Macaca mulatta: one gene and its partners. The protein of the gene in region 3 binds, or shares a complex with, the protein of the main gene of each other region. Links are inferred from orthologs where the notes say so. Each region holds a gene or a part of one and is shown on either strand. Other genes may lie near its edges.

Region 1 (5,517 bases), on a different chromosome or scaffold from region 3:
GGCCCACTCCTGTAATCCCAGAACTTTGGGAGGCTAGGGTGGGTGGATCGTTTGAGCCCAGGAGTTTGAGACCAGCCTGGACAACATGGGAAAACCTCATCTCTAGAAAAAATACAAAAATTAGGTGGCCATAGTGGCGTACGCTTATGGTCTCAGCTACTAGGGAGGCTGAGGTGGGAGACCTGAGCCCAGGGAGGCTGAAGCTGCAGTGAGCAGTGTTCAAACCACTGCATGCCAGCCTGGGTGACAAAGTGAGACCCTGTCTCAAAACATACAAAGGAAAAAACAAGGCATATTTTTGTGCACTATCTAGTGGCACTAAACATTCATTTTCTTGATTCACGCATTTTTCCCTACCCCAGTTCTTAAGGCTGCAGTTTGGGAAGAAAATATGCCATCTCATCTGCCGCCTGATGAAACTTGTCCACTTTGCCCCATATGGGAAAGTACCCAGCCCCTGTGCACACCACACTATTCTTAGCTCATAATGAGACTTCCTCCATATTCTTGTGCCCGGAGATGGAGGCAAAAATAACACAGAATGTGGCTGAGCAATCCTGTGCAAGTCACTCAACTTTCCTTGACTCTCAAAAGCCAGGCTACAAGTCATCACACTTAACCATGTCACTTGACAGATACTAAAGTAGAATATTATCTAGAAATACAATTGTCACCATCACTTAGGAATAGGTGAAATAAACTACCGGGGTCAGAGAAGGTATGAGGCAAATAATAATAATTAATAATAAGAAGAAAAAAAAGTTACCAGGGAAGCTACTGGGAAACTTCACACTTCCCTGTGAATTTCAGTGACTCGTTCCTGTTCTTTCCAGGCTTACTTCTTGGTTTGTATACTTTTTTTTTTTTTTTAAGACAAAATCGTCTTGCTCTGTTGCCAGGCTGGAATGCAGTGGCATGATCTCAGCTCAATGCAACCTCCCCCTCCCAGGTTCAAGCAATTCTCTTGCCTCAGCCTCCCGAGTAGCTGGGAATATGGGCGCGTGCCACCATGCCCAGCTAATTTTTGTATTTTTAGTAGACGCGGAGTATGTTGGCCAGGATGGTCTCGATCTCTTGACCTCCTGATCTGCCTGCCTCGGCCTCCCAAAGTGATGGGATTACAGGCGTGAGCCATCGCGCCCAGCCTTGGTTTGTATACTTGGTTTTTGTTTGTTTGTTTGTTTGTTTGTTTTTGAGACAGTCTTGCTCTGTCGCCCTGGATGGAGTCCAGTGGCACGATCTCGGCTCACTGCAACCTCCACCTCCTGGGTTCAAGTGATTCTCGTGCCTCAGCCTCTGAGCAGCTGGGATTACAGGCGTGCGCCACCAGGTCCAGCTAATTTTGTATTTTTAGTAGAGGCAGGGTTTCACCATGTTGCTCAGGCTGGTCCCGAACTCCTGGCCTCAAGTGATCTGCCTGCCTCGGCCCCCCAAAGTGCTGGGATTACAGGTGTGAGCCACTGCGCCTGGCCCGGTTTGTATACTTGTGTCCTGGTTCTAGGACTGTGTGTCTGGCCTCTCCCACTAGATGTGAGCTTCTTGAGGGCAGGCACCTTGTCTACTTTATCTCCATAGCCCCAGAGCCTAGCATCAGTCACTGCAGTCACTCATCAAATGTTAGTACAACAAGTAAGGCCAAATGTCTGCATTTTAGGATGGAGTATTTAGGACTAGCATCTCTGAATGAAGATCCTGGCTTCACCTCTTACTTGCCGTTAAGTCCTCAGGCAAATTACTTAATTGTTCTGTGCCTCATTTTTGTAAAACAGTAATAGTGTGAGGATTAAAAAAGACATCGTCCACTTACAGCAGCTTTTTTTTTTTTTTTTTTAACTGTGGCTGGAGACCTGCTAGTAGGTCATAACATGAATGAGTTTCGACAAGAATTTTAAAAACCTAGGCCGGGTACGGTGGCTCACGCCTGTAATCCCAGCACTTTGGAAGGCTGAGGTGGGTGGGTCACTTGAGGCCAGGAGTTTGAGGTCAGCCTGGCCAAAATGGCGAAACCCCATCTCTACTAAAAAAGAAAAGAAAAAAAAAATTAGCCAGGCATGGTGGCAAGCGCCTGTAATCCCAGCTGCTCAGGAGGCTGAGGCAGGAGAATCGCTTGAACCCAGGAGGTGGAGGTTGCAGTGAGTCGAGGTCACGTGACTGCACTACTACACCTGGGCAACAGAGCAAGACTCTGACTCGAAAAAAAAAAAAATCTACAGTAGTTTCTCTTTTGTGCCTGGCTTCTTTCTCTCAATGTAACATCTGTGAGATTCATTCACACTGCTATGTGTATCAGCACCCTGTTCTTTTTCTGTTGCACAGTATTCCATATATCACAATTTCAAAACTGAAACTGGGTTGCATTTAGATTGTTTCCAGTTCAGCAGTTGAGACTAAAGCTGCTCGGAATCTTCTTGTCTATGTCTTTTTGTGGTCATATGCACTAATTTCTCTTTAGGTAAAATGTGTTTCTTGCCCAAGTGTGGTGGCTCACATCCACAATCCCAGCACTTTGGGAGGCCAAGGCGGGAGGATTCCCTGAGCTCAGGAGTTTGAGACCAGCCTGGGTAACGGTGAGACCCCCATCTCTACAAAACATCAAAACAGTTAGCTAGGCATGGTGGCACATGCCTGTACTCCCAGCTACTCGCAAGGCTGAGGCAGGAGAATTGCTTGAGCCTAGGAGGCCAAGGCTATAAGTGAGCCATGTTTGCACCACTGTACTCTAGCCTGGGCAATAGAGCAAGACCCTGTGTCAAAAAAAAAAAAATTGTGTTTGTTGCTCTAGGTCAAAGGTTCTCAAACTGGACCCGGGGCCACCAGCATCAGCATTAACTGGGAACTCGTTAGAAATACAGATTCTGGCCCCGCAGGGTGGCTCCCACCTGTAAACCCAGTACTCTAGGAGGCTGAGGCTGGAGGATCACTTGAAGCCAGGAGTTTGAGACCAGCCTGGGCAACACAGCGAGATCCCATCTCTTTAAAAAAAAAAAGGAAAAGAAAAGAAAGGAAAGGCAAAGAAAAGAAAAAAGAAAAGAAAAGAAAAGAAAAGAGAAGGTGTCTTCCTGCTAGTAGGCGCCCTCCTACGCCCCGCAGGCGCTCTGGGCCCAACACTCACCTCCCCGCTGGTCGGAGGGTCCTGTCTCCGCAGCCCCTCCACCTCCTTCCTGAGGTTGTCCCTCTCCATCTTCAGCTCCTCCAGCGCCAGGCTGCCCTCATTCACCAGCGCCTCCAGCATCTCCAGGACGCGGACGACTTTGAACTGCAGCTGCGTCACCCGGGGGTCGCTGCCCAGGGCCATAAGTTCGCGGCCCAACAGGTAGGAGATGTCATACACGTCCTCGGTGGTCAGCTGGAAGGGGCTCTTGCCCAGCGCCCCTTCGGGCCCAGCCTCGTCCCTCTCCTCGTCCTCAGTCTCGTCCCTCTCATCGTCCTCTTCCTCTTCCTCTTCTCGCACAGGGGGCTCCTCCATGGCCACCCAGACCCCCGCCGACCCCGGAGCTGCTCTCTTGGAGTCTCCCAAAGGTTGAACTTCCTCCCGGCACCCAAAACTTTCCGCTGGGCAGAGTCCCTACCTGCCCAATCAGCGCGGCCCGGGGGTGGGCCCGGGGGGGGCGGGGGGGAAGGGGAAAAAGGGGCCGCGCACGCGACTCTAGGGCCGCCCCTGGCGCACCGTCCCTGCTGCAGGCCGCGCGGGCGAGTGCGCTCCAGGTTGTGGTTTGGGGCGCGAAGGGACAACAGAAAAGGAGGGCGTCCGAGAAGAGGAAAGTTCAGGGGTGAGGGCAATCCCCCCAGCCTGGGAACAGTTGCAGCCCGGGGGAGGAGCCGCCCTGAGCCCCGCCCCTGGCGACCGCTGCCGGGAGGCGCGTTCCCGTGGAGACCGAGTTTCCACCGCGCAATCGAGAGCAGAGCAAAAAGAAAGCAACTTTTTCCTTTCTACTCTCGTGCTTTCCAGCCGTAGAATTTGCATCGTACGTGATGGAAGATTCGGGTCTCTCTTTGAGGGAGTTTTCTGGAACCTGCGGCCAAACAGAAAGCAGCTGTTGTGGGCAGCGCGACAGAGTCCCCAAGGCTTGAGGATCTGGAAAACTCCCAGCAAATTATCATTAGGGCCTGGGGCATCTGACTTCTGTGACTCTCAATAAAATGGGGAATTCCTACCCTGCTCACTTCGCTGGGTCCTCGGCTCCTCCACGTAACCGGCGCTGCCACCTTGGCAAGTTACTTAACGTCTCCAAGCCTCAGTCTCCTCTTCTGTAAAATGGGGACAATAGCGGGACCCAGGTGGCAGGGTTGCTGCGAGGAACATGAACTTATGAGATAATGTGTGTGACACCTCACACACTTAGGAAGCACTTTACAGATGTGATTGTGATCCTTCATTCTTTCTTCCACAGAGCTGGGGAGGAATTGCTGGTGTTGGAGACACCTTGCTACTTGGGTGAGAGAAGCAGGCGTAATTAACAAGAGAGAAACCCCTGTCTGAAAATCACAAAGCATTTGACACATATGCAGAATCCATATTACTGAGAATATTAGCAGTGTGGCTTAGAAACTTGAGTTATTTGCTGTGGCTCATGCCTTAATCTCTACACTTTAGGAGGCTGAGGCAGGAGGATTGCTTGAGCCCAGGAATTCGAGACTAGCCTGGGCATCATAGTGAGACCCTATCTCTACAAAAAGTAAACAAAATTAGGTGGACACGGTGGTTCATGCCTGTAGTGGCAGGTACTCGGGAGGCTGAGGTGGGAGGATCGCTTGAGCCCAGGATGTTGAGGCTCCAGCGAGCCAAGATCGCACCACAGAGTGGTGCCTGTGACGGAGTAAGACCATGGTGACAGAGTGAGACCATGTTTCAAAACAAAAGCACAACAAATCTCAAGTTATTTTAGGTTCCATTGGAGGTTTGTGATAGTCTCAGGCAGAAAGCTCAGCAACAGGGCTTATCTTTCCTAGGAATGTATTGGCAGCTTTCCTTGTGATGGGTGTGTCCATTTTCTCCACACTGAGGTACTAGAATCTCAATGGAGAATGTACACGGATTAAACCAACCAACTAAAGCAAAGCAAATTAACAAAACATACTATTTTCAGAGGGCCGTTTTTATTTTCCTTATTTATTTATTTTTAGTTTTATTTATTTATTTTTTTTGAGACGGAGTCTTGCTCTGTTGCCCAGGCTGGAGTGCAGTGGCACAATCTCGGCTCACTGCAACCTCCACCTCCCAGGTTCAAGCAATTCTCCTACCTCAGCCTCCCGAGTAGCTGGGACTACTGCGCCAGTTATAGTCCCAGCACATGCCACCACGCCTGGCTAATTTTTTGTATTTTAGTAGAGATGGGGTTTCACCGTGTTGCCCAGGCTGGTTGTGAACTCTTGAGCTCAGGCAATCCTCCCACCTGGGTCTCCCAAAGTGCTGGGATTACAGGTGTGCGCCACCATGCATGGCTAATTTTTTGTATTTTTAGTAGAGATGGAATTTTATCATGTTGCCCAGGCTGATCTTGAACTCCTGACCTCAGG
Region 2 (5,368 bases), on a different chromosome or scaffold from region 3:
CATAGTAACCAATTTACTATGCTTTGTTGAATTGCATCTTAATCAGAATTATATTGGACAAAAGTTTAGTTTGAAAAAGTGTACTCCCTTGGAATATCTTCAAAGCTTTCCCTCATTACCTCAATGCACAAATATCTCTACCCACTACCCATCTGTTCTTCCTCTCCACTACTCAACTATCCTAGCACTTCGTCTTAGTTGACATTCATTAAAATATGTAACGTGTGTTCTACATTTTGAAGAACTTATAAAAGATATGGGAATGATTATAAGGCCCCACCTCCCATATTCCTTAAGAATTGTTTCCTTTAACCCCTACTGTGACTTGCAGAGTAGATGCTCAATTGAGTATATGATTTAAAAAAATCTCTGGTGACACATAAGAATTACATATTACATTAATATTACATATCTCATAAAAGCTAAATTACGAACAGTTCTTCAGCATTATAAGCTACACACAAAGAAGTGATAATGCAGTGATTATAAGCAAATAATTCTTCAGCATTACCACTTATACAGAGTGCAGTGGTTAACAGCACAGACATGGAAGACAAACTGACATCTAATCCAGACCTGTCACTTAATTAATTATATGACTTTGAGCAAACTACATAAGGTCTCAGCGTCTCAATTTTCTCAACTACAAAATAGGGATAAAGTATTATCTCCTAGCTCACTGTGAGAGTAAGTGAGTTAGTATAAAGCTTGTACCAGGACTTGGCTTGATAAGCACTAGACTTAAAAGTAACTGTAGTAGCAAGGCTGGTATCACCGTCATTAGAAAACCTGGGTATTTTTAAACCAGAAATACAAATGGTAACACTTGTCACTCTGTGTGCCTCCTTATAGTTACAAAGTTCTTTAATAGAAAGTGCAGACTGGGAATGTAAGGAATAAAAGCACTAAGTTCCTTTTTGGGCAGTTGGATACAGTTTTTAATACCGGCTCTGTCACTGGCCAGCTGTACGACCACCTACAACTAAGTAACTACAGACAAATTACCGCAACTTTCTAAGCCTCCATTTCCTGATTTGTAAAATTTGACAAGTCACCTATATCCCAGGAATGTCCAGAGGACTGAGGAGTCAAGGTATGGAAAACAAGCACGCACAGTGCCTTGCACACAAGCAAGCTCACATTGGTTCCTTCTCCCCTTCCCCACATCTCTAATGGAGTATCTTATTAAATCCTCATCTCACCACTATGAAGTTCATATTAGGTTGAAACATAAAAAACAGCAGAATATTAGCAATTTCAACCTAATAGTATTTCCACTGACAAATGGAGAAAATAAGCTCAAATAGGTTAAATGTTTTACTCAAGGTTTTATGCACAGTAAGTGATGGAACTGAACATTAAATAATTTTTCATTCAGCCAGCTCACTAATTTGTTCACTGACTCCTGCTGAGGGGGAAAAAAATATACTAACTACTATAATGCATATAAAACTACTATAATCTACAAAGTATTTTTTCCTGCCATGTTTAAAAAATGAGGGGGTGAAACAGATTTCTAAGAACATTTCCATTTTAAAAAGTATTTGCAGAGGATGTGTGTGTTGGGGGAGGATCAAAGGTAAAGAATATTAGGTCGGGCGCGGTGGCTCAAGCCTGTAATCCCAGCACTTTGGGAGGCCGAGACGTGCGGATCACGAGGTCAGGAGATCGAGACCATCCTGGCTAACACAATGAAACCCCGTCTCTACTAAAAATACAAAAACTTAGCCGGGCGAGGTGGCGGGCGCCTGTAGTCCCAGCTACTCGGGAGGCTGAGGCAGGAGAATGGCGTGAACTCGGGAGGCGGAGTTTGCAGTGAGCTCAGATCCGGCCACTGCACTCCAGCCTGGGTGACAGAGCGAGACTCCGTCTCAAAAAAAAAAAAAAAAAAAAAAAAAAAAAAGAATATTAAAGGAAGCATATGGATAATTACACTAATTCAAAAAGTACAATAGGATCTAGTCAGAAAACCCACAAAGCAGCTAAACATTAAATGGCCATCCTGGTGAAAGGTTACAAGTATTCAATACCACAGATGAGTTGTCTGCCAAATACGGAAGGAAGATTTATATTAAACACTTTGGTTCACAAAGGTATACATCAATATATAACATTACTGCAATGGAAAAAAATGAAAGGCTTTTCCTTCAATAGTTAAAAAATGGACTACTTAACTGTATAACTGTTTATTTCTATAAATTCCACAAGGGCTTTAGCATTAGATCACATAAGCCATATCTGGAATACAATGTCCAAACACGAAAAGTCCTATCAAAATGCACAGTACTAGTAAATAAATAACAAATGGTAATAGTACAAGGCCCCATAAAACTGGTGAAATATTTAACAGTATCAAATATTTACTACGATTGGTCTACAAACCTATTCTGCCTCTTTTCTCCTTGATTTGTCATTCACCACTGGGGGGAAAAAAAAAAAAACCTTCATGAACAACAAAATGAGAAAAAGGATAATGAACAAGAACTGGGTCTTTCAATTGATTTACAAAGGAACAGTTTTGTTGTAATCCTCTTACGGGCCCCTCCTCCAATTATGCAATCATTCCACTGCAAGAGATTACAAGGCTTTTAACCCGACACTGAAAGGAAGGAGTTGGGGTGAAACATGAGAGTGTATAACAGGTAGCCTCCGAACAGGCAACATTTCCATGAAACTAAATTGCCTCTCAGTAATCAGTACTAACTCAGCGCTCTTGTCTTTCAAGACCTTACCCTTTAGCCATTGTAGATATATCTTTTTTTAATCCCATAACAACCGGCAACTCTTTACATGCTGCGGCTTCCACCCAGCATCAATTCTGGAGCGAGGAAGCTCGCGCTTCCCCGGGCGGTCGGGGCGAGTTTTCAACGCTGGGAGGGCAAAGCCGTGCAATCCCATCCGTGCAGCTCGTCTCAACTCCCCCGAACACAAGTCTGGCTGCAAGGAGCTGCCTCTTCGGACGCGACTCCGGGCGCCTGCCCGGAATTTCCCACCAGGTTTCACCGAAACCTCCCGAGGGTGACCTCTACGCCTCAGCACGGTGCCTCTAGCGTCGTTTCCTAAGACTGGGGCACGAAACCACCCCAGGTCCACAGCTATTGCCCCGTCCACAGCCCTGCCGCGCGGCGCCCGGTGTTGTGAGCGGCTACCGACTTGTTCGGGAACTCCGTCTTCATCCCCCTCGCGACCCCGGCCCTCCGCTCCCGGCCGCTCCCGGCCGCTCCCGGCCGCCGCCAGGTAACCCGCCGGGCTCCGGCTCCCTGCCCCGGGCGCGCGGGACCGCGCAGTTAATGTGTAACGCGCCCGTGCCCGGGGGAGGAGCCGCCGCCCGGCGCCCACCAGCAGCCCAGGGGGCGGCCGGCTGACCCGGGGCGCCGAGGTCCCCCCACACGCCGCCCCCAAGAGCCCGGAGCCCAACTGCCCAGGCGGAGAGCGCGCTCACCGGGCCGGGGCATCCCGCCGAACCCCCGCGCGCCGCGCCCTCCACGGCGCCGGCACCTGCACCTGCCGCGGCCGCCCCTCCTGGCCGACTCGCCGGAGGCGGGTGCGCGGGCGCCGAGGGGGGCGGTGCTCCACGCTCCGGGCCTCTCCCTCCCGCGGCCACACTCACCTGACGAACCCACCGCGGCCGCTGCCGGCGCTCACGGGCGCTCACAGAGCCGCAGAGAGCGCGCCCCGAAGCAGCGAGAGGCGGAGGAGGACGGCGAGCCCTTGCCGCTACACTCCACGGTGGCGGGCTCACTACGCCGGCAGCCGCCGAGGGAACGCGGGACTGCGCCTGCGCCGGAAGCGGGGCCGGGGCCCGGGGCCGGGAGCCGGGAGCTGGGAGCGGCCGGTCCTCACGGAGGGTGGGCGGGGCGGGGGGGTGTGGCCGGCAGGGGCGGGGCGGGCCCGGCGTGGGGCCTGGGGGCGGACGCGCTTCCGCGCCCCCTGGCGCCAGGCGGGGCTCGTCGCAGCTGTCACGGGCCTGGCCCCAGGTTCCTCCGCGGGCGGTTTCCCTGGGAACAAGGGCGAGCCCGAGCTGCGCTGTTTCCCGGGGCCCGAGAGGCCACCTCAGGTTGACTTCAGGCATGTTGGGCTCTCCAGAAGGGAGAAGAGGCACCTTCGCCGTGAGTTGAGGACTCCTAGAACCAACCTGAGACTCCGCGGCCATATACATCTTACGACGTGTGTGTGTGTGTGTTTGTGTGGCGGGGGATGGGAGGGGAGGAATCCTGTAGAACCCAGATCCCATCATTCCAGCAACTGCCAGAGCGTTCGAGAATGTCACGCCTGTACCTGTCTTCTCTCATCTTTTGTGCCAACTGTTTTATCAAACTTCCACCCCACTTTAAGTCTTCCAGGTAGGAAAAATACAGAAAGAGCCAAGATCCCAAAAATCGGAAAAAATAAAGAGGCATTCATAGTATGTGTCTCTATGTTTAGCAAAAGAGAAACGTGCAATTTATGTGATACACATATTGAATAGAACCATCATTCTGGGTATTAATCTCATCTATTAGAGGCAGTAAAGAAAAGTAGACTATGTGTATGGCTGTTGGAGTCAGAATTACTGGGTTTGAGCCTGCCACCTGCTAGCTGAGTGACCTTAGGCAAATGAATCTCTAGCCCCAGTTTTCTCATCAGTGAATGAGTATACAAGAACCTGCCTCGCTAAGTCATTGAGAGTTTAAATGACTTAATTCATGTAAACACTTTGCATACTTCATGACACAGGGTGCCTGATGAATATTAGCTATTGTTATTATACCATTATAACTATTATCATGCATCTGTAATCCAGAAACCTAGAAAGTCAGTTTTTCTTATTTTATACCCCGTCACCAATATATCACCAAGTCTTATTCATCCTAATTTCTAAATAATTCTTAAATATATCTTACCTGATATTCATTGCCATTAGAAATGACCTTTCTTATTAACGGACTCCTAACTGTTCTCCCTTACACCACGTAGCTGGTCATTCATTCATCAAACATTTTATTGCACTCCATCTGTGTGCTTCCTGTTAGACATAGGGACAGAGAAACCATTACAAAGTCCCCACCATTCACGGACTCAAACATATATAGGGAGACAAGTATGTCAGTAATAGCTACGTGAAATGAATAAATTAAATATACAGCAAACCACTTGGGCTCCCCAGTCTTGCTGTACTCACAACCCTGTATTTCCATATGCTGTTTCTTTTTATGTCTTGATCTCCTACCTTTTCCTTGCCTTGCTAGTTGTTTGTTATTCATTATTTATCCTAGACGTCAATTCCCCTGTGAACCCTTCCCTGTTGGCCACTCAGCCCTATCCCAGCCACTCCAGTATGGGCTAAGTGCCCCTACCAGTGCTTCCATAACACCGTATCTCTTTGTAA
Region 3 (5,388 bases):
AAGTGATTCTCCTGCCTCAGTCTCCCGAGTACCTGGGAATACAGGCAAGCGCCACCACGTCTGGCTAATTTATGGAATCACCTTTAAGCATCAAGGTGATTCTGCTTCAGGACTAGACGGCCCAGTGTGCCTAGGCTTCCTAAAACATTCCCCACTTCCTGTCACGCGTGTACAGGGACACACAAAATCGAGGAGCACTGCTAGGCTGGCCAAGTTCCACAGCAGCACTCCGCCCTACACTCCTCTGGGTTTTATTAACATGCCAAATTTAATTACGAAGTGTAAACTTTATGAGGCCTAAGAATTATGAGGCCTGAACTTCAAGGTCATGGTGAATTAGAAATTCCTAGAAGAGGCCGGGCGCGGTGGCTCAAGCCTGTAATCCCAGCACTTTGGGAGGCCGAGACGGGCAGATCACGAGGTCAGGAGATCGAGACCATCCTGGCTAACACAGTGAAACCCCGTCTCTACTAAAAAATACAAAAAACTAGCCGGGCGAGGTGGCGGGCACCTGTAGTCCCAACTACTTGGGAGGCTGAGGCAGGAGAATGGCGTGAACCCGGGAGGCGGAGCTTGCAGTGAGCTGAGATCCGGCCACTGCACTCCAGCCTGGGCGGCAGAGACTCCGTCTCAAAAAAAAAAAAAAAAAAAAAGAAATTCCTAGAAGACAGAAGGCTACAAATGGAAGGAGGGGAATGAAGGGGTGAGAGGGAGGGATCCTGGGGTCAGGTGCCACCTTCACCTTGCTAGGTAACTTTCACCAAGTCACATCTTCATCTGCAAATGGAAGACAGCCTCTTTAAAGCTCAAAGTAACTCTAAAGAGGGGGGGTCTGGGCTGGGCGCAGTGGCTCATGCTTGTAATGCCAGCACTTTGGGAGGCCAAGGTGGGCGGATCATGAGGTCAGGAGTTCGAGACCAGCCTGGCCAACGTGGTGAAACCCTGTCTCTACTAAAAAAAAAAAAAAAAAAAAAAATACAAAAATTAGCTGGGCATGGTGGTGGGCACTTGTAATCCCAGGTACTCAGGAGGCTGAAACAGGAGAATTGCTGGAACCTGAGAGGCGGAGGTTGTAGCGAGCCGAGATTATGCCACTGCACTCCAGACTGGGTGACAGAGCGAGACTCCATCTCAAAAAAAAAAGAGGGGGGGTTTGTGGGGAAGGTGCTGAGGCCGGGAAACTGGGATCTGAGTGAAGGCAAGCCACAGTCTGCCCACAGTTAACATAATTTCTTTCTTTCTTTCTTTTAAGATAGGGTCTCGCTCTGTTGCCCAGGCTGGAGTGCAGTGGCGCCATCACAGCTCACTGCACCTTGACCTCCTGGGCTCAATCAATCCTCCCATCTCGGCCTCCCAAGTGGCTGGGTCTATACGGGTAAGCCAGTATGCCCGGCTAATTTTATTTTATTTTTTATAGAGATGGGGTTTTGCTATGTTGCCCAGGCTGAATTAACGCCACTTCTTGATCGGCTGGGGCACAAGAGTTACCCTAAAGTTTGGCCTTGGAGTTGGGGAGGGGGAAGAATTCAGAACCATCTGTCTTCAGAGGCTGGATGCTGTCACTGCAGGAGCCATTCATTCATTTGCTTCTTCGAGATGGCCTCTGGTTACGGTGATAACCCCTTATTGTCTAATTCTAATCCTCAACCACCAGGGCACTAGCCCAGGAGACAGCGTCACTCCTGCTCTAAAGACAGCAGGGCTCAGAGAGGGGCAGTGTATGTTCAAGGGCAAACAGCAATTGGAAACCAGACGTAACGATTTCCAGTCAGTTCTCTCTACTTTACATCAGGCATATAACTGTTTTATAAAGCACAGCTATCCTGGGTGCAGTGGCTTATGCTTGTAATCCCAGCACTTCGGGAGGCCAAGGTAGGTGGATCACAAGGTCATGAGTTTGAGACCAGCCTGACCAACATAGTGAAACTCATATTTACTAAAAATACAAAAATTAGCTGGACGTGGTGGCGGGTGCCTATAGTCCCAGCTACTAGAGAGGCTGAGGCAGGAGAATTGCTTGAACCCGAGAGGCGGAGGTTGCAGTGACCCGAGATAGCACCACTGGATTCCAGCCTGGGCAAAACAGCTAGACTCCATCTCAAAAAATAAAATAAAATAAAATAGAATAAAATAAAATAAAATAAAAAAAGCACAGCTCCTGGAGGGGGGCAAGAATGGAATCAGCACATTATCGTGGGGTTCAGGGAGAAAACATGATTCTGTTGAAGTGACACAGTAAAGCAAAGGCCATTCCCTACGTTTTCGTGACTTGGAATAAACTCCTTAGTGACCGTTCCCCCATTTTCCCCATCCCTAGCAGGGCTACAGAGCTCCCAGGCCACTCAGACTGGTGTTACTCCCCGGTCTAACCTTTTCATTGTGGGCCAGGACTGCTTTTGTGGCACTGAGAGAGGTCAGTTCCACTTCTGCAGACGGCACAACTGAGATGCACCAAGCCAATTCTGTTCAACCACAATGTGGGCTGGCCCTACGGGAAAAGCTGTTCTAAAGTGACAACCGGAGTCTTGGGCCCTTTGATAGGGAAGTCAAGGCTGTCTGTGGCAGTGGCTGATTTAGTTGCTCGCTGAGGCTTTTATCTTGCATCTTCTTGCAGATGACAGGTTCCAGGGCAGGCAGTGCTGTCACTTGTCATTACTGTCATCCTGGAGCAGGATGAAATGTGGGCAGGGAAAAGGTCCTGACTCCTCTTATCATTCCTTCTAGAGGAAAATACACTTATGAGGGGAAGAATGGTCAGGGAGAGGGGTTCAACTTCTGAATACTCCAGAGAAAAGAGCAGGAATGGTGTGGGTTACAGTTCCGGCTCCAAGGTGCATTAGCTGAGCTTGTCATCAGCTGGGAGTGTGAGGTGGCATCTCTCTAGGATAGCTAAGCCTCGAGTTTTGGGTTGAGACACAGCCAGGTTCAAATTCCATCAAATCCCATTCTCACCACCTGCAGACTGTGTGGCCTTGGGCAAGTTCCAGGCCCACCCTGAGCCTCAAATTCCTCATCTGTGAGACGGGCTCAAAACAGCACTTAACACCGAGAACTGGAGAGTGTGAAAATGCACGGGAAGCACTTGGCACATAGTAAATGCTCATTAAGGTGAGATGTCACCGTCTTTTTCCCATGGCCAATTCCCCATGACTCAGTTTCCACTTCTGTAAGGCAGGAGCCTCAAAAGAACCGCTTTGAGGGCTGCTGCTAGGACAGATCGAGAGGACGGGCGCGAAGACCCCAGCCCAGGACATAACACTCCCTAACGAGCGGGCTGAGGGTCGGAGCCTCAGTCTCCCCATCTGCAAAATGGGCACCTGGTCTCCCCCACCACGGCCCAGGAACCTCCGAACGGCGGTACAGGCGACTGCTCTTCTCCCCTTAGGCCCCCTCGACCCTCTCAGCGCCCTCGGCCAGTCCAGCCCGGTAGATCCCTCAGCCCCAGCCCCTCAGGGGCGCGCCCAGCCCGGGCCTCTGGCGCCCCCAGCCACTCCCCGGTCCCGCTACCTATGGTGGAGATAAAAGTGGAGTTGAAGGCGTCCTCGGAGAAGCGGAACAGGACACAGGTCTTCCCCACCCCCGAGTCCCCGATCAGCAGCAGCTTGAACAGGTAATCGTAGGTCTTCGCCATATTACACTCTCTCCCCGACGGGAAGTGCGGCCAGCGCCTCTCCACTGGCCACCAGCACCGTCCATCAGCGCCGAGCCCGCCCCTTATTGGCTCCAGGCCCGCTGCGCGTCACCGCGGCCGACGCCCGCCCCTGCGTCCCGCCAGTCGCGGGGAGACCTGGGGAGGGGGCGAATGGAGCGCGGAGCCGGAAGCAGCCCGAGCGCACCTCCCATTGGCCGGCACTAGGGAGAGGACGGGCTCTGATTGACCAGCAGTGAAGAGTCGTGGGGCTTCAAATGGGGACGAGGCGGGGGCGTGGCATTATGTGGCCCCCGCCTTCCACCCCCTACTCGGGCGCCCCGGCCCCGCCCCACTACAGGAGAGGGAAGGCAGGGAGCGTCGCCAACGGCTCGCGCGCCGGCAGCCTGGGGGGCGGGGCTTGGGGTGCGTGCGCACGAGCGCCCGGAGTTCCGTTAGGCGACGGCAGAGGGCGCAATCCTGTACTTGGGGCGGGTATCTCTGGGTCCCGCCGTCACAACTCGCGCAGGCGCAATAGGCCCCGAGGCGAGCGCGGGAAACCATGGTAGCGCTCTCAACCTGATCTGCGGCCTCCGAGTCGGGGCAGCGGGGGCCGACGGAGGAAGGAGAGAGGAGACACTGTATACTCGAAAAGTGACCCGGGCCGGGCGCGGTGGCTGAAATCCCAGAACTTTGGGAGGCCTAGGCGCGTGGATCACGAGGTCAGGAGTTCAAGACCAGCCTGGCCAAGATGGTGAAACCCCATTTCTACTAAAAATACAAAAATTAGCCGGGCGTGGTGGCGGGCGCCTGTAATCCCAGCTACTTGGGAGGCTGAGGCAGAGAATTGCTTGAATCTGGGAGGCGGAGGTTGCAGTGAGCCGAGATCGCGCCTTTGCACTCAAGCCTGGGCGACAGAGCAAGACTCCATCTCAAAAATAAATAAATAAATAAAAGTGACCCAAGACGAGTTCCGAGGTCTGCGGCCTAGCGACCTGCTTACAGATACCCAAGGCCTCCGCCACCTGAGCGGCTTCACCGCCACAAGCTATGCCCCGAAGCGCGCGCCGGCCTCCTCAGGGTCCGCCCTCGGCCGCTTTAGGAGTTGTCCGGGCCAGCCCGGGGGGTTTAGAACAGTGAGGATGCTTTAGAACAGTGAGGATGCTTGTTCCTATCTAGGGGCCAGGACTCTCAACACTGAAAAAACAGGCCGGGGCTGTGGCTGCCACCTGTGATCCCAGTGCTTTGGGAGGCCAGGAGTTTGAGGCTGCAGTAAGCGGTGATCGTCCCACTGCACTCCAGCATGGACGACAGAGCGAGAAGCCTCTCAAAAAAAGAAAAAGGCCGGGCGCGGTGGCTCACGCCTGTAATCTCAGCACTTTGGGAGGCCGAGGCGGTCGGATCACGAGGTCAGGAGATCGAGACCATCCTGGCTAACGCGGTGAAATCCCATCTCTACTAAAAATACAAAAAAGTAGCCGGGTGTAGTGGCGGGTACCTGTAGTCCCAGCTACTCGGAAGGCTGAGGCAGGAGAATGGCGTGAACCCGGGAGGCGGAGCTTTCAGTGAGCCAAGATCGTGCCACTGCACTCCAGCCTGGGCAACAGAACAAAACTCCGTCTCAAAAAAAATAAAAAAGAAAAAGAAAAGAAAAAGAGGAGAGATACATTAGGAAAATCGGGCTTGCAGCTGGGTGTGGTTGCTCAGGCCTGTAATCCCAGCACTTTGGGAGGCTGAGGCAGGAGGATTGTTTGAGCTCA
Region 4 (5,375 bases), on a different chromosome or scaffold from region 3:
CACCCTTCGCATCCTGCACCCCGAGAGAGACTCCCGACCCCTCCCCCGGAGTCTCCCGGCCGCAAGTCGGCTCGCCTGCAGGCAGGGCGGGGGCGCACAGCACCTCTGGGTGGCGGCGCAGATCCGGCGGGGACCCCCCCCCCCAATCATTCTGTCCCGGGAGGCAGCCGCGGCCCAGACCCGGCGCGGGACCGCGAGCGCGCGCGGACCTACCCGCTCCACATCCCGGCGCCTCGGGGCGCCCGGGCGTTTGTTCCCAGCGCCGCCGCCGCGTCCTCCCCGCGCCGCGTCCCCGCTCGCCGCCGACTCCTCCCGGGGCCGAGCCGCCCCACCGCCTGTCAGCCCAGCCCGCGGCCGGTCAGTAGGTCTCAGCTGCCTGGGCTCGCGGCCCCCAGCCCAGCCCCGACCCTGCCCTGGGCGGGTCACGTGGCGGAGGGGGGCGGCCCGAGGACACGTGCCCGGCCCCGCCCCTCGCCGGCCGGGCGCTGGGATCGGGCGCGCGCTCCCAGGGCCCGGCCCCACCCGGCCCGCCGCGCCGGGACAAGGAGACCGCGGCGCGGGGAAGGAACCCGGCCCCCAACATCCCGCGGCCCGCGCCGCGCTCAGACTCCCTAGCTGACTCGTCCTCTCCAATCGCCCTCTGCACCACCCACTTTGGGCCACCCCTGCTCAAGAACCTACAATGGCTCCCGGGCTCTCAGCTCTTGGATTCTCACACAGATTGTCACTTAAGGCCAGCAGACACCCTCCCCCATCCTCACCGGCACTCCTTCCCTAGTCTATCTACTTAGTGCCTGTCCCTGTGCAACATCCTGCCTGCTGGGAAGGGGAGGGGACAAACCCGAAACAAGTTTTCTGAGTCCTACTCTCTGAGTTTTACCCCGAAGGAGTTTCCACTTCTGGTTCAACTCTCCTCACCCAGCCTCCTGCCTCTTAACACACTGTACCCATCCCTGCCTTTATCCACCATCTGCCCTCTGGATAGTATTCCCCACCCCACCCCCACCAACACACACACATACGCACACCTGTCTGGTTCCTCATCCTCCGTGAAACCTTTCCCTGAATCCCAGACCACTGGTCTACCTGTCCCTCAGTTCCTCTGTCCCACCCATTCTGAGTCCTGATCATTGTTCTCAACTTCAGCCTGGGACTGGACCAGTAAGAGCAGAACCCCTCTTCTCTCCCACCAGGAACCATGGCTCCCACCTTCCCTGTCTGGGGGAGGACTGGGAGCTTGGGGGGAGGTACTTGCCCTTCTAGGTGCTACCAGAGGTCCTAGTGCTGAACCCCTCCAGGCCCACTGACTCAGGCCCCAGGCTCAAGTTAGTCAGATCTTCATTTGAGGACACATTTTATTCATTCATTCAACTCATTCATACATTCAGCCACTCCATCTGAGCATAGTCTATGGGCCATGCAAGGGCTGGTGACCCAGAAGGAAACTGTGCAGACATAGGCTCTGCCCTCCTGGGGCTCCATGATGGAGGATGGAGGATGAGGGAGGTATTCTCTAAGACCTCCATGTCCAGAGTACAAATAGACAACAGTGCTCTTTCCCCACTGGGCATAGTGCACAACAAGGTAGGGAATCTGGAGAGTGGAGGCGAGGCTGGATTCTATGCCTTGCTTGCTCCCTTGGCCAGCATTTTGTGCAGTGAACAACCTTGGCAGTTCTCCATAGCATCCCTTCCAACTTTCTAGAATCATTCAGCCCAGGCGTCCCATAGCCATCACGCAGCAGGGCAGTTGTTTCCATGGCCATGGCTTCCAGAGGGCAGGGATTCTCTCTTTCTTGGAGCTGTGTTCCCTCACCCCGCCCCCAGCCCAGCTCAGGGTCTGGCCCACCCAAAGCAGATGTCCACATGTGTTTGCTGGCTTGAATCCCTCATCAGTAGGTCTTGAGCAACTGTTGTCTTCCTGGCCTTGTTTTGTTCACTATTTAGAGAAGGAGGAGAAAATGACACAAAAGGAACCCAGCACAGGGCCCTTGCCCTCAAGTCTTCACAAGCACCGGGAGGAGATAAGTCATGGCAACCCAGACCAGTGGGAGATAAAGTGGGTGGAGGAGGCGTCAGCTCAGGGCTATGTCCCTGGAGGAAGAGTACTCAGCCTGGGACAGCTGGTGGACTGGGGAGGCCCTTGAGCGAGGTCTCGAAGGACAAGTGTGTGGTCACCACTCAGAAAGCATCGACACTCAATTTCTAACCAAAAATAGCCTGTCATCCATGCTTCCTGCTACCATGGACTCCTAGGCCTCACTGCCTCCCCCAGTAGGGAGGACCCTACTGCTCAGCTGAACTTGCTCCTCAGCCAAAAAGGATGGGCTCAGAGAAGTTAAGGAACTTGCCAGATATCACACAGCCAGGGGCAGTGGGGCTGAGTCCTCTTACACCAGTTTTCCAAAAAGACCATCCAGAAACTAGAAGCTCACTGGCAGCTGCAGCTGTGTGCAGCCAGGCAGCAAGAGGTTCCTGAGCACAGGCTATGGGTTCCTGGCCAGTGGCAGGGAAGGGAGAAATAAAAGTTGTGTCTGGGCCAGGCGCGGTGGCTCACGTCTGTAATCCCAGCACTTTGGGAGGCCAGGACAGGCGGATCACCTGAGGTCGGGAGTTTGAGACCAGCCTAACCAACATGAAGAAACCCTGTCTCTATTAAAAAATACAAAATTAGCTGGGCGTGGTGGTGCATGCCTGTAATCCCAGCTGCTCAGGAGGCTGAGGCAGGAGAATCGCTTGAACCCGGGAGGCAGAGGTTGCTGTAAGCCGAGATCGCACCATTGCACTCCAGCCTGGGCAACAAGAGCGAAACTCCATCTCAAAAAAAAAAAAAAAAAAAAAGTTGTGTCCTCTGCCCACAAGCCACTGCCCTCCTGACCCTCCCTCCCTCTATCCCCCTCTGCCTGCTACATCCCAAGCCTGACAGCCTTGACCACAGACCCTTGGCTGAAGGCAGCTGAGGAGTAGGAGACAGTCAGCCTGGATGACCCAGGCCCTGATTCTGGACTTACAGGTCTGACCTCAGCTCACTGTGTGACCCAGGACGAGTGTCTTGCCCTATCTGAGCTTCAGTCTCCACCTCTCTACAGCCACCAAATTGGACAAGATAGTCAGAGCCATTCCCTAGGACTCTCTGAGCCCAGCTTCTCACACCGGCTGCCCTGAAGCTCGCCAAGATTCCCCCTCCCCTCCATGCCGCAGGTCCTGAGCTCACCTTTCTGTGCCCCAGGGCTCTTCTCTCAAGCTCCCCTCAAGTGCAGGGCACAGGCCTAATGGGGCGTAGCGGACAGTCCCTGCACTCATGGCCAGGAACACGGGGCATGTCCCTCGGGCGGGGCACCTGGCGTGCTCCTCAGAAGAGTCCATGCTTGGAAGGCCAGACTGAGGGTCCCTCTGGAGGGTGCTGGGAAGGGAGGTAGCAGGAGCCTTCTTCCCCCCACTAGGCTGGGCCTCACACTAACCTTTGCTATCTCCTCAGAGCAGCAGCCTGGGAGGGAGGCACCACCTCCCAGGACAGCCGCTATCTCCTTCAACCCCGTAATTATTAACTCCTGTGGCTCCTCAGGCAGCAGAAGACACTGGGCCCTCCTTCCTGGGCTCTGGGCCAGGGGAGATGAGACACCTCAAGAGGAGGCCCCGTGTTTCAGCCAGGCTCCCAGATGGTCTACTTGTCCCCTCGCCACACAGGCTGGGGCGTTGGAAACTGCCTGTCCAGCCTTGACCCTGTCATAGCTGTCGTAAGCTGGCTGTGGAGCCCTGACAGGCCCTCCCGACTGTGACCACAAGCCTGAATATCCACTTAAAACTTTGTTATTGGCCGGGCACGGAGACTCACGCCTGTAATCCCAGCACTTTGGGAGGCCGAGGCGGGCAGATCACCTGAAGTCAGCAGTTCAAGACCAGCCTGACCAACATGGTGAAACCCCGTCTCTACTAAAAATACAAAATTAGCCAGGCATGGTGGCGCATGCCTGTCATCCCAGCTACTCGGGAGCCTGAGGCAGGAGAATTGCTTGAACCTGGGAGGCGGAGGTTGCGGTGAGCCGAGATCGTGCTATTGCATTCCAGCCTAGGCAACAAGAGCGAAACTCCATCTCAAAAAACAAAACAAACAAACAAACAAAAAACTGTTATTATTATTATTTTTTAATTCTTTTTCTTAGATTTGAGATTCCTAGTTTTGTCTTTTTTTTTTTTTTTTTTTTTTTTTTTTAATTTTTTAAGGCAGGGTCTCACTCTGTCACCCAGGCTGGAAGGCAGCCTCAAACTCCCCGGCTCAAGCCATCCTCCCACCTCAGCCTCCTGAGCAGCTGCGACTCCAGGCATGTGTCACCATGCTTGGCTAATTCTTAAATTTTTTTTTTTGCTTGGAGAGACGGGGTCTCGCTACCCTTAAAACTTTTCACCGCCACCACCCAGGAACAACTCAGTGGTAGCAGCTGGGAGCACAGGCCCAGGGTCAGACAGGCTGGATTCAACCCCACTTTCAGACGGTGTGCCTTTGAGCACGTTAGCCTCTTTGTGCCTCAGTTTCTCCAACTATGAAATGGATTCTCACCCTCCAAAGCACACCAGGTCAGTTGCCACTGCCCAGATGTGCCCATTCCTCTTCTTTCCACATACTATCCCACCTGTCTGCAATCTCCACTGCATCCTGCCTCTGCTGGTAAGTTTCTCTTTTGTTCATACCCCCTCCTCTAGGAAGCCCTCCCCTGTGGGTTACTTTTTTCCTCTGCAGACACCAGAGCCCTCAGACACATGGTTAGCCCTGCACATGACAAACACCCCACGGAACTGGTGCACACTCCCGCAAGAACTGAGTGGCCCTCTGCGCAGAGGCTGGGCCATCCTCGTCACCCTTCTCAGTGTCCCCTTGCCTGGTACACAGACCCCATCCATCTGTGGGATGGTGTGAATGTGCCACCCTGTCTTCATTTGGCCCGAATTCTCATCCTAGTTCTGCCACTCGCTGGCTGTGTGGCCTCAGGCAAGTCACTTAACCTCTCTGGGACTCAGTTTCCTCATCTATATAAAATGGGAACAGTTCTCCCCTGTGAAGTAGTGAGTATTAAAGCAGATAACATTTGTGGCCAGGTGCAGTGGCTCACGCCTGTAATGCCAGCACTCTGGGAGGCCGAGGTGGGAGGATCGCTTGAGCCCAGGAGTTTGAGACCAGCCTAGGCAACAAACTGAGACCTCATCTCTATTATTAAAAACAAACAAACAAACAAAAACCCGTCTCTACTAAAAACACAAAATATTAGCCGGGTGTGGTGGAGGGCACCTGTAGTCCCAGCTACTTGGGAGGCTGAGGCCGGAGAATGGCATGAACCTGGGAGGCAGAGCTTGCAGTGAGCCGAGATTGCACCACTGCAC

What was found.
Region 1: the proteins of RAB8A (region 3) and RILPL2 are in contact, whole or in part, in a crystal structure (PDB 6SQ2), measured with the Homo sapiens proteins. The link is inferred for Macaca mulatta from reciprocal best matches to the Homo sapiens genes RAB8A and RILPL2. Residues at the interface, in NP_005361.2 of Homo sapiens: Ile41, Gly42, Ile43, Asp44, Phe45, Lys46, Ile47, Lys58, Trp62, Phe70, Ile73, Tyr77; in NP_659495.1 of Homo sapiens: Leu135, Leu138, Arg139, Leu142, Gln143, Arg145, Asn146, Lys149, Ser150, Leu153, Glu157.
Region 2: the proteins of RAB8A (region 3) and RAB3IP are in contact, whole or in part, in a crystal structure (PDB 4LHX), measured with the Homo sapiens proteins. The link is inferred for Macaca mulatta from reciprocal best matches to the Homo sapiens genes RAB8A and RAB3IP. Residues at the interface, in NP_005361.2 of Homo sapiens: Lys10, Phe33, Ser35, Thr36, Phe37, Ile43, Asp44, Phe45, Lys46, Ile47, Trp62, Ile73, Ala76, Tyr77, Arg79, Gly80; in NP_783322.1 of Homo sapiens: Ser199, Arg202, Asp203, Gly206, Leu209, Glu210, Thr213, Ala214, Phe217, Glu218, Ala220, His221, Val224, Asn228.
Region 4: the proteins of RAB8A (region 3) and RAB3IL1 are in contact, whole or in part, in a crystal structure (PDB 4LI0), measured with the Homo sapiens proteins. The link is inferred for Macaca mulatta from reciprocal best matches to the Homo sapiens genes RAB8A and RAB3IL1. Residues at the interface, in NP_005361.2 of Homo sapiens: Lys10, Phe33, Ser35, Phe37, Ile43, Asp44, Phe45, Lys46, Ile47, Gln60, Trp62, Thr72, Ile73, Thr75, Ala76, Tyr77, Arg79; in NP_037533.2 of Homo sapiens: Arg104, Glu108, Leu111, Glu112, Thr115, Ala116, Phe119, Glu120, Ala122, His123, Arg127.

Annotation. Positions count from the first base shown.
Region 1 is NC_133416.1:130,849,363-130,854,879, forward strand, and holds the start of RILPL2 (RILP-like protein 2), read right to left. Parts: upstream 3,537-5,517; 5' UTR 3,467-3,536; coding exon 3,113-3,466; intron 1-3,112. UniProt on the Homo sapiens protein: Involved in cell shape and neuronal morphogenesis, positively regulating the establishment and maintenance of dendritic spines. Plays a role in cellular protein transport, including protein transport away from primary cilia.
Region 2 is NC_133416.1:76,866,959-76,872,326, reverse strand, and holds the start of RAB3IP (rab-3A-interacting protein), read right to left. Parts: upstream 3,537-5,368; 5' UTR 2,771-3,536; coding exon 2,733-2,770; intron 1-2,732. UniProt on the Homo sapiens protein: Guanine nucleotide exchange factor (GEF) which may activate RAB8A and RAB8B. Promotes the exchange of GDP to GTP, converting inactive GDP-bound Rab proteins into their active GTP-bound form.
Region 3 is NC_133424.1:16,585,099-16,590,486, reverse strand, and holds the start of RAB8A (ras-related protein Rab-8A), read right to left. Parts: upstream 3,645-5,388; 5' UTR 3,632-3,644; coding exon 3,508-3,631; intron 3,158-3,507; exon of another isoform or gene 2,566-3,157; intron 1-2,565. UniProt on the Homo sapiens protein: The small GTPases Rab are key regulators of intracellular membrane trafficking, from the formation of transport vesicles to their fusion with membranes.
Region 4 is NC_133419.1:12,068,662-12,074,036, reverse strand, and holds the start of RAB3IL1 (guanine nucleotide exchange factor for Rab-3A), read right to left. Parts: upstream 3,537-5,375; 5' UTR 3,366-3,536; coding exon 3,214-3,365; intron 440-3,213; exon of another isoform or gene 225-439; coding exon of another isoform or gene 214-224; intron 1-213. UniProt on the Homo sapiens protein: Guanine nucleotide exchange factor (GEF) which may activate RAB3A, a GTPase that regulates synaptic vesicle exocytosis. Promotes the exchange of GDP to GTP, converting inactive GDP-bound Rab proteins into their active GTP-bound form.